3 linked regions of the Drosophila melanogaster genome follow. The protein of the gene in region 3 interacts with the protein of the main gene of each other region in a pairwise test. Each region holds a gene or a part of one and is shown on either strand. Other genes may lie near its edges. The genes, in order: CG18262, CG14383 and AMPdeam.

Region 1 (3,756 bases), 5.7 Mb from region 3:
TAAGCATAACACTGCGGTAACCAAGACATCCATGCTGGCAATCCCGACATGAGACATATGTACACACTTGGGGGATCACCGAATCCGTAACTTAACTATCCTAGAGATGCGATGCACAACACAAAAAAAAAAAAAAAAAACAAATCAGAAGAGAGGGAAAACAAAGCGAGACGGCATCTGTCCTGGACAAATGCATCCCCCAACAATAAGGTGCCACATGGCTTAGGCCCACACCCGTATGGTGTAGTCCCAACTGCCGGTGGATAGAGCGGTGCCATCGGGCGAGACCTGGACGCAGGACACCTTGTTCTCGTGCCCGTACAGCAGGCAGACCCTTTCCGATTTCAGCGTGTCCCACAAGTTGACGGTGTAATCGTTGTAGCCAGCAAACAGTAATCTTCCACTGACCGAAAAGTCCACCGAATTGACGCCAAAGATGATGCTCTCCTTGGCGAACACGGCCACCTCGCGATCCGCTCGCATATCGTACAGCCGGCAGCTGCTGTCATCCGATCCAGTGGCTATGGCATCTCCGCAAGGATGGAACTTAACGCTATTCACATCCGATTGATGACCCTCGAAGGACTGAACGACATGACCAGAGCGCATGTCCCAGATGAAGGCCATGCGATCGCAACTGCCCGAGACAAAGGTGTTGCCCGTTTCGTTGGGAGCCAAATCGATGGCCATTACATCGCCGGAATGTCCGTGGAAGCTTTGCAGTAGCTGGCCCGATTCCACGTCCCACAAAGCGCATGTGGAATCGCCACTGCCCGTGAGGATTTGCTGATCGGAATTCGGATAGATGCAGCACGACATGTAGCTGGTGTGGGTGCCCACTGTGCGCTTCTTGGCGGCCATCTCCTCATCGGAGGTTATCGGATACACGGTGACCTTATTGTCTAGTCCGCCGCAGGCCACAAAATTGCCCGACGGCGCGTAGGCACAGGCCATAATCCAGGTGGTGGGCATGGTGACGGCGTGCTCCTTGTTCGTGGTGAACGCATCCCAGATGATCAGACGTCCGTCCTGCGACGAGGAGATGATGTGACGCTTGTCGGGACTCCAGTCGGTGCACAGGACCTTCGCCTGGTGGCCCTTGAGCACCTTACGCGGCTTGATGTTCACATAGGCGATCTGCTCCAGCCGCTCTGCGATGTTCGACAGATTGACGTCGTTCAGCTTCTGGCGCTCCTCCTCCAGTTTGGTCTTCAAATTCTCCGCCTCTCGCACCAAACTGGCCATCTTTTCAGTGGCATTCGCGTTCGCATTGCTCGCTGGCACCGCCGCCTCCGACATGGTTGCTCTGAGATGGCGCTTCTATGGATATCTCTCGGGGATTGTGTGTCCTATCCCGTTCGAACTTCTCCAATTGGACAGCGAAAAATCAATCCGAAAAAAAGTGTATACTCGAATACGAAAATCCGAATACACAGCGATAGGCGCGGTCGGTTATCGATAAGTTTTACCGTTGGTAAATGGCAGAATGTACCGTTACATATCCTTTATTTTCGGAGAACTTGATAAAAGATTGTGACGATGTTATTATTATTAATTTTCATCAATATGACAAGGTATTGATGAAAATTGGCGTCAAAATTTGTTAAATTTTTGTTCTGTTTTTGTTAAAAGCCGGTTTTCCGAATTTCCCTCATAAAATAATCAGTTTTTTGCCCAGAACTTTGAAAATAATTGACCAAATATGGTATGTCATATCTCGTTGAACTCGTAATGAAATTTCCAATCGAATTGCATTCAAATTTGCGAATTCAAAATTTTTCCATTTTTTTGCAAATTTTAATTTAATGTTACCCCTTAAAAAACATGAAAAATATGACACAAAAATAAATTTTTCTATGCCCGCCCAAAAGTGATAGGGTTCGTTAGTAGTGATAATTGGCTGTTCAAAACAGTTATTCTTTAAGCTGCATGATGATTTTCCGCCAAGTTATGACTAGAAACTACTTGTGATAACGAACTTATCGGAGTAAATACCATTTCAAATGTGGCGCCACAACCAAGGTAAGCTCAACACTGCGGTTCGTTAGCCAACACTACCATCAGCTGGGGAAAACCACCCTTCCCCACCCCCTTGAAACAAACACTTACAAAAAAGCGACGCCAACGGCTGGAATCCTCTGCTAATCCGGAGCCAGTTGACCGCCACTTCCACACAGGCAGACCAGGGAGCAAGCCGCGATGATCAAGGTGCAGCCACCGCCGGATGTGGCCGGTGGCTACCACAATCTGCGTTGCGGCGAGGTCTTATTCAGTGCACCCGCCTCCTACGAAGTGAGCTGCTTGCTGTGCGACCAGCGTTTGCCGTTGGACGGCTACCCGGAACACTTCCGGCTGAAACACTTCACGAACAGCTCCAGCTCGCTGTGTTCCAACGAACTGGAAAGCGATCCCATTGCCCAGGACGTCGTCGAAGTACAGGGAAATGAGGAGCTACATGAGGAACTGGCAAAGGAAGCTAGCCCGGACTTAGAGGAGGAGGAGGAGGAGAAGGAGGAAGGTTCCAAACGCCAGCATTACCAGCGTGCAGCGGCCATGAAGAACACCCTGGTGGAGACTCGCGAGGATTTGCTGGACATCGAACTCGACTGGACGGGCGGCGAGCAGTCGGAGCATAATGAAACTCACGAGGAGGAGGAGGGGGAATCGGATGATGATGACACGAAGGACAGCAACGACACGAAGGACATGCTCTTCCAATGCGATCAGTGCGACCGGGCGTACAACACCAAACGCAGCCTGCAGAGCCATCGCCGCCTAAAGCACAGCGAAGCCAACGGCGGAAGTCTGGACAAATCCGCCAGTGAACGCAATAGCAAGAAGCGGAAAGGTCCGCCGAAGGTGTACAAATGCAACGAGGAAGCCTGCAACCAGACATTTCGCACCGAACGCGATCTGCGCGGCCATCGCTGGAAGCACACGGGAATCTTCTGCGACATTTGCGGCAAACCCTTCACCCAGTCGGGCAACATGATGCGCCACCGCCAGCGACACAGTGGCATCAAGCCGCACAAGTGTCCGGAATGCGACGCGACCTTTTACACGCAAAAGGAGCTCTCCTCGCACAGTATCTGCCATACTGGTCGCATGCCCTGCATCTGCGAGGTGTGCGGACGACCTTGCCGAGATCGAGGCGTTCTCACGGCGCATATGCGTCGCCATACGGGCGAAAGGCCGGCCAAATGCGAGGTGTGCGGCAAGGCATTCTATAGCTTTCATGACCTCAATGTCCATGCTGTATCGCATACCAATTTGCGGCCCTTCGTCTGCGACGTTTGCGGCTCCACGTTTCAACGGAAGAAGGCGCTGCGGGTGCACAAGCTGCTCCACTCTGAGCAGCGCAAGTACGCGTGCAAATTGTGCGGCAAGACGTTCGCCCAGTCCGGCGGTCTAAATGCCCACATGCGCAGCCATGATCCGGCGAGAGTTAAGGGAGCTGTGAAGCCGCTGCCGCAATCGGTCACCATCGAGGTGATCGAGGGCAAGAGTCCGCCCACCACCACCATCACCATGGCCATCGACCTCAATGTGGAGGAGCAGCTGGTAAAGCAAACCGAGACTGCACCCACCACTTGGCGCCTGGCCAACTGAGTAGCTAGCTAGGATTAATATAAGGTTAGATGTAGTTCATCTATAAGTTCCAAATTGCGCCATAATAAATGAGAGAAATCAGAAGATTGGAAATGAATTAATAATCGTAAGAAACCAGAAGGCAGATGCATAAAACGATTGATTTGC
Region 2 (3,445 bases), on a different chromosome or scaffold from region 3:
CTCCAAGCTGCGCGAAATGAAGATTCTGTCGCCGCGCGAAAACCTCTACACGAAGCTACCTGAAGTGCGCGCACCGTTGCTGCCCACGCGGGATCCCACATCGCCACTGCCACCACCTCCTCCAGTTCCGGCGGCTCTGGTACCGGGCGTCGAGCGTGTGGTGGCACCCAGCCATCAGGCTCCGCCAGCACCACCTCCTGAGCCACCAACAAGTCCAGTGCCCACCACACCTGCACCTCCTGCCCCTGCTCCCGCTGCCATGTCCAACACTTTAACGCAGCACCTCCTCAACATGCTCTCCGATCCCATAAGCACCTACAGCGAGCAGATCAGTGAGTCGGTAGAGTCAGCCTCTGGTCAGGAAGATGTTGCTGTAGCTGAGGAACCTCCAGCGGAGCAACCGACCACTAGTGATGCCGATTTGAATCTCTCGGATGACGAATACCTGTCGCCCTTGCTGCGCAAGGCATGTATGCTTACCGAGAATGGAGCTCGCGTTGACGTCGTGGTGGTCACTGGACAGCGCGTTTCTGCCGGTATGAATATTTTTTATATAACCTAAATATATTTAATTTTTACTCTAACATTACAAAATATAACCTAAAATTGTAGATCAAGTCCTAAATTTGGAGCACATTCTGCAATGCGAACGACTGATTCCCAGGTGAGTGAATCCATCCTACAACATCTCGTTCATAAGCTCGTAGTTGTGCTGCAGGAACTTGAGTACTGCCTTCTTGGTGCTCGCTTTGCCCTTAAAGGTGGCCTTGAACAATTTTCGCAGGACGGCTAGATATCTCATGGCACTGAGGGTGAGCTCGTGGCTCTCGGCATCCAATTTCATGCCCAACACATTTTTGTATCTCTTGCTCACCTGGGCTTTCAGATTGTCAAAACTTTGGCTTGCCTCCTCCATCAGAGGAGCACGCTGCTGTCGCCGGTAGTGATCCATGTGGGCATGTAGCAAGGTTTTGAAGAGTTCGTTAAAGTGCTGCACCTGCTGGTGGTCTGATACGTCTTCGCAGAAAACACTGAACATGGTGTCAAAAAACATCGCCGGATCCTGTCCATTGCATAGTCTTTTTAGGGCGCTGATTGAGGAGCAGGCGAAATTTCGCTTCAGATATCGGTTCTCCTTGTCCAGCATGTAAATCTGATCATTTATCCTTTTAATGGCATGTTTGTCCGCCGCGCGTTTCACCTGCAACTTATCGATCAGACATTGAAGCTCCATCGACTCCTTGGTTAGTGCAGCGTTTTCTTTGACCAACCTACGATTGGCCTCCACTATATTCTCGCATGAACTAAAAGAAGACTGTTCCTCCTCATTCAAACTTTCATCAAATTTGCAGCATACAACATCTTTGCCGATTGCGGGATTCGGTTTTAGGCTCATTTGGTGAAGAGTGCGCAAATCCAACTGGAAACTGCCCGGCCACGTAAATGGATAACCCAACGATTTGTGATCATTGAGTTGTTTATGAAGGAGCAGTAGCATATAGTTTCTGGAAAAGCGTTCCTTCGGCGTTGACTGCTGGAAGATGTTGAGCCATCGGGTGCATGTGGGCACAATGTTATCTTTATCGGGCAGCATGTCCACCAGTTTCACCACACTGACAACCTCCTGCACAAATAGGTCATCTAGCTTCTCCTCTGTCAAAGAAAACGGTTTGGCCATGTCTCCAAGATTTGTTTATATCAAACTGGCTTGTGATTTAGAAATCAGCCTACTATGACGTCAGCATTCTTTATCAAATATTAAAATGTATTCCTGTTTTCTTTTAGACCGCAAACATCGCGATCCATGTCAGCTGGAGCGGCAGACAAATCAAAGCGACCGCAACGCAAGCCCCTCCAATCCCAATCTTCGAGCGCCGCTCCTACGAACAGTGCGGACTCTCAGGACAACATCACAATTATCCAAGTGTCGAATACCGCCAACAGTGGCCAGGAACATCCACCCGAACTGCCGCCCAAGAACACCACCACCGCTGAGGTGTTTCGATTCCCTGAGGTTAAGAGCAAGCCCCAGACTAATGCCAAGCAGCAGCCAATCCAGACCCATCACGAGTATAAAAGCAACGTACAAATCATTCCGTCCAACGCCAGTAGCAGTACCAGTACCATTCAAGTCCTTGGCAAACAGTCCAGTAGCAGCAATCCGTATACAACGCCCGTTAAGCAAAGCTCGTCCAATGGCTCCAGTTCACAGGTGTCGGGCACCACGAAAGTAAAGGTGTTGGGTGACGGAGACGCAACCACCAAGGTGGCTGTCTACGGCACCTGCTATCCAGCGGCCGGAGGAAGTGCACCCAGTTCTTCCGCAGCCTCTTCCTCTGTTAATCCTGCCAAGCCGCAGACGCCCAGATTAAGTAAAAAGATAATACTCAGTGCCAACACCTCGGGCATTACGAATATTAGCGTGAATACAGAACAGGGCAGTGACTCCATAATCAGTGGTAATATCCACTACGAGAAGGTCTTCCTTTCCTCCAGCATTCCGATCACCAGCAGAAGCAGTCCCACAAGAGTGGCAAACACGAATACCACACAGCCAGTGACTAATGGCAGTCCAGCTTTGCCACGTCGTCGGTTGGCTTCGCCGGCAACGGCGCAACCAGTGACCCCCAATGCAGCCGGCAGGGCGACGCCGCAGTTGACCCGAGGACTAACCGAACTGGTCATTAGTTCGCGGCCAAGTAGAAGGGATTTCCACTACCTAAAGCTGTTGAACACGCCACTGAAAACGAAGACATCGCACAAGTCAACCAGCGCCGCGAATAACAACATTGAACAATCCACGCCTTCCAGCTCCAATAGTACCCAAGTTACGCCAACGCAAAGGAATAACACCTCGATTGTAACCGGTGACAGCCAGGAGCAGCGGCGACGCAGTTCGTCCACATCCGATGCCCAGGCTCCACTTCAGCGGGTCCCTCAGCCCGCAACGCAGCGTAACGCTAACAATAACGAGTTTACGCCATCCCGAAACGGAGCCTTTCGTATGCAGCCACCGCCACAGGGAACACCTCCGTCAAGCACCAATCCCGCCCAGCAGTCGCCCAACAAGCGATTGACTTTGCGGGAGCAGCAAGTGATGCAGCTGCGTCGCGAGATTATGCATCCTGGAGGAGTGCGACTGAATCTAAGGCGCAAGGACTGCGTCGGTTCCATCGCTTGGGTAGAAGCCTTCGGTGGCGTTTGGTAAGTTAGAGAGAACTTCGTATCATCTCCACGGTGATTGTATGTAGACCGAATTATATTTGGAAATTGTATAAGCAATTGGTATGATTCACTAACTAGTTGTGTTTACAGGATTGCAGGCTGGAAGCAGAAGGAACACCCTGTGCTCTACAATGCCCTACACATCGGTGATCAGCTACTGTCCATAGCAGGTGTGAGCATTAGCAGTGCAGCTGAGGCCAACAAGATAATAAGGAACACC
Region 3 (3,756 bases):
AAAACAACCACACGGAATTGATTGGCGACTACAAATTGGGCGAACAACAAAGTTTTACAAAAAAGAAGGGCACTGAAAAATATTTACATATAAGCTTAGATTCACTGTGAAATTATTAATCCGAACTAACTGATATTCAAGATCATTTGAATAGATCACTTGGATGTTTGGTAATAATTCAAATATAGATTATAATAGCTAATATTATTTATTTTAATTGTTCTTTTATATTTTTTTTGCAGTGTAAAACAGCACGAAAGAGACGGAAATGGAGGAGAGAGGGATTAGCGGAGATAGCAAAAATACTGGCAAAATCAAAACACGCACTCAAAACACAACAAACTAGATGAGGAGACTGATTAAAACGATCCGAAGTTGGAATACACTTCAAGGTCACAAAAACAACAATAATCTCCTATCATCAAAGGAATAAACCCGCCGCAAAGAATCATATTTAAGTGGGCTAATTATCTTAACTAAAAAGCTTATTATTCCACAAGGCACCGGGATATATTCGCAGAAACTTGATTGACGCAATCTAAACTGATTTATTATCATTTTATTTTTGTATATTTTGAAGTATGTATCTTAAGAAACCCAAGTGCTATACCACTTTACAGGGTATTATAACTTTCCTATATTTCTATATGGGTTAGTGCGACTCAAGAGATGTTGCGACTGATTGGCAGCGCAGCGACAGAGGATTAGCGCTACACTGAAACAATGCAGTGGTACATACAATAATAAATGAATTAAACAATTTTCAGGCAACTGATGCGGCTTGTGGGCAATATTTGCTTAATAAAACAAGCATTGTTAACAAGTTAAGAAGTTCTTAAATACAGCTTGTAACCAAAGATCATATCTGCATCCACACAAGGCATTTCTTCGAGTGTAGCGAACCGTGTGAGTTATTGCTACAGGTTTTTTTTTTGTTTTGAGTGAGAGTGCTTTGCTGTGTGCGTGGGAGAGTGAATGTCATTTGCTTTCTTTTTGCAGCAGAGAAAATAGAGAGAGAGAGAAAGACAAAGACAAAGACATCGAAAGAAAGAGATGTACAAAGAAACATTCAACTTGGTATAATATTGTAATAGGTAAGCGATGATTTGCAAGAAATAAGTTAGCCCATCTTCATTGATTTAAGGCCATACGTTTTGCTACCAACTGGACTGCTGTGTTTTCGCGCAGTGCACGAGGTCAGTGGGTGGCGGTTGGGTGGTTCGTGTGGCTCGTGTGGCTTGTGTCGTCGCGATGCATTCACTTACATGGGCAGCGGCTGGGGAACTGGCGACTTACATGTCGCCCTTAGGGAACTCGGCTTTTGGGGCATGGACATGGAGGTGCAGGCGTTGAGGGACTTGCCGCTGGCCTTGCTGCCCAGCGGACCGGCCGCATTGGTGGCCGCATGGGACATCATCGATCCGTCAAAGGAGTCCACATCCTGGACGCGCAGCTCGACGGGCGAACCGTCCGAGGTGCTCAGCATTCCGCGGTACGACATCTCGGCAATTGAGATCCTGGATCCTGGGATCCTGAACGGTCTATATTGGCTAACGGCTAATCCAAATGAGTGTTTCGTGTTGATTTGTTTCGATTTTTCTCCGATGTTTACTGATTTGTGTGTTGTGAAAATCTTGAGTGTTTGTGTTTTTTTTATTTTTGTTTTGTTTTTTATGTAATTCCCCCGGTGACAGGTGTCGCCGCTCTGCTCGATATTCTGCTCTGGGGCAATGTCTTTGGGCAACTGTCGGTTCGGATCGGTGGAATATATATACCGCCCGCGATCGACTGCACTTAATTTAGTTTGAATTCCGTTCGACGCAATTCGCGCATCTCCTACGCGTCTGTCTTTCGCTTTTTTCTTTGTCTACGCCTCAGTATTTTCCTCTGCTTTCTCTCCTCTCTCACTCTTTATATAGTTTCACACCTCTCCCGATCCCAGCGGATCCAAAGTTTATATATCGGGTAAAGTTGGTAGGGAGCTTTCTAGTCACTAGCAAACACGGCTGCGGCACAAAGCTCGGAAAGCCCACAATGTTTGCTAATTATAAACAATATTTTGGATAAACAAACTGCATATAGCCACGCCGAATGGGTGGAACGCCAAAGGGGGTTTTCAAGATCAAAGCTCTTCGAACCCAGTAAAAAAAATAGATATATACATATGTACAAATTAGACGATTAACAATATGGCATCGTCTCTAACTTTAACCTCTTCTGATTAGCTAAGAATGGGCATGTGATTTAAAGGACTAACAGTTTTTCCATTTATTGAAATTCGGAAAAACGACTTTTACCAAAAATTTGATATTTACAAACCGAATTTTCGTCATAACTTTGGTAAAAATGGTCATATAGATAAAAGAATACCTGTTTTGAGCAGCTAATTACCAATGCTAACTAATTCTATCACTTTTTGACGAATTTTGGAAAAAAAATTTTTTCGTAAATTTTTGCATTTTTTGTAAGGGGTACCATCATCAAAATTTGCAAAAAATTGCAAAAAAATGGAATTCTAACTTTTAAATACAGTTTGATTGGAAATTTAATTACGAACTCAACGATATATGACATTCCATATTTGGAGCACTAATTTTCAAGTTTTGGTCAAAAAATGGATTATTTTTATACCCAAATTCAAAATTTTACCATTTTTGTAACCCAAAATTTGCGAAAATGGCAACAATTTAGAATTTTTATATTGAAATACTAAATGAAAAACTACTTTTCAAACTCAGCGAGGTACGATACATCATTTTAGGTAAATTTGTATAAATAATTTGGCCAAAAGGCGGACCTTATTGGTCAAAAATGCATTATACTGTGCCACTCTTTAAATTGATTATGGAATTGGTTATTTCTCAACTTGAAACCACCTATATGCTCATTTATCATTGTCAAATACATAATTTCTGCATAATACTTGTAGACCACCAAATTAATGATCCATTTTGGCGATGTTTCGATCGAATCGATCGACAAGTGATAAGTACGATAAGGCTGCCTCCTTGACACACCACTTCAAATTCGTAGTTTGCTATTCCGTATTCTAGTCTGGTAACTTTCCTCTATTAGGAGGGCTCGGCTCGATTTGTTTAACGCCCTGTCAGAAGTGGCTTATCAATAGCCCCCAGATGGGAGCCAAAATTGGAATTGGAATTGGAATTGGCAATGGAGTATCGGTATCGGTGGTTAGCGGTGGGTTGTTAATAACCCATGTGAAGTTTTTTCAGCTTTTTTTCTTTTTTCTTTGATAGCTTCATAGGCCAATTGGTTTGTTCAACCTGGTGGTATTGTGCGCTTTTCGCCATGTCTGCAAGTCATTGTCAGTTCATTTGCCTTATTTGCCGAGTGTGCGATATGCAAACATTCATACATATACTATGCAAATATATATGTTTATGTATATATAGATATATATATTCATATGTATATATTGAAAGATGGGCATTCTTATAGACGTGCATATATGCGTTTGTTTATCTGTTGTACGTTTCAATTTATTATTCGATTGTGCTTAAGCTCATTTCATTTTATCTCGTTATATTTTTGGCAACGCTCTTTGTTTTGTGTTTATTGACCGAATTGCGAACTTATTAATTGCTGCGTTCGGGATTTTCGTGTTTTTTTTTAAATTTTTCTTGGGCAAAGTGCCCGCTGAGATGGCCACTATTGATTTTCACATGAAAATATGGCCGTGACTTGCGTAATGGCAGCCAGGAAAAGTCGGCAAAAGAACGACTTTAGCCGCGGCTT

Evidence for each region.
Region 1: the proteins of AMPdeam (region 3) and CG18262 interact in a two-hybrid assay, tested with the Drosophila melanogaster proteins (one large-scale study listed by BioGRID).
Region 2: the proteins of AMPdeam (region 3) and CG14383 interact in a two-hybrid assay, tested with the Drosophila melanogaster proteins (one large-scale study listed by BioGRID).

Annotation. Positions count from the first base shown.
Region 1 is NC_004354.4:8,150,845-8,154,600, forward strand, and holds CG18262 (uncharacterized protein), read left to right. Parts: upstream 1-2,103; 5' UTR 2,104-2,199; coding exon 2,200-3,609; 3' UTR 3,610-3,689; downstream 3,690-3,756. Other genes in the region: Gbeta5 (G protein beta subunit 5), read right to left, coding at 223-1,299.
Region 2 is NT_033777.3:12,986,821-12,990,265, forward strand, and holds CG14383 (uncharacterized protein), read right to left. Parts: upstream 1,692-3,445; 5' UTR 1,679-1,691; coding exon 680-1,678; 3' UTR 665-679; coding exon of another isoform or gene 613-664; 3' UTR 556-612; downstream 1-555. Other genes in the region: CG31342 (uncharacterized protein), read left to right, coding at 1-536, 613-664, 1,786-3,204, 3,316-3,445.
Region 3 is NC_004354.4:13,838,270-13,842,025, forward strand, and holds the start of AMPdeam (AMP deaminase), read right to left. Parts: upstream 1,743-3,756; 5' UTR 1,502-1,742; coding exon 1,297-1,501; exon of another isoform or gene 1,293-1,296; intron 1-1,292.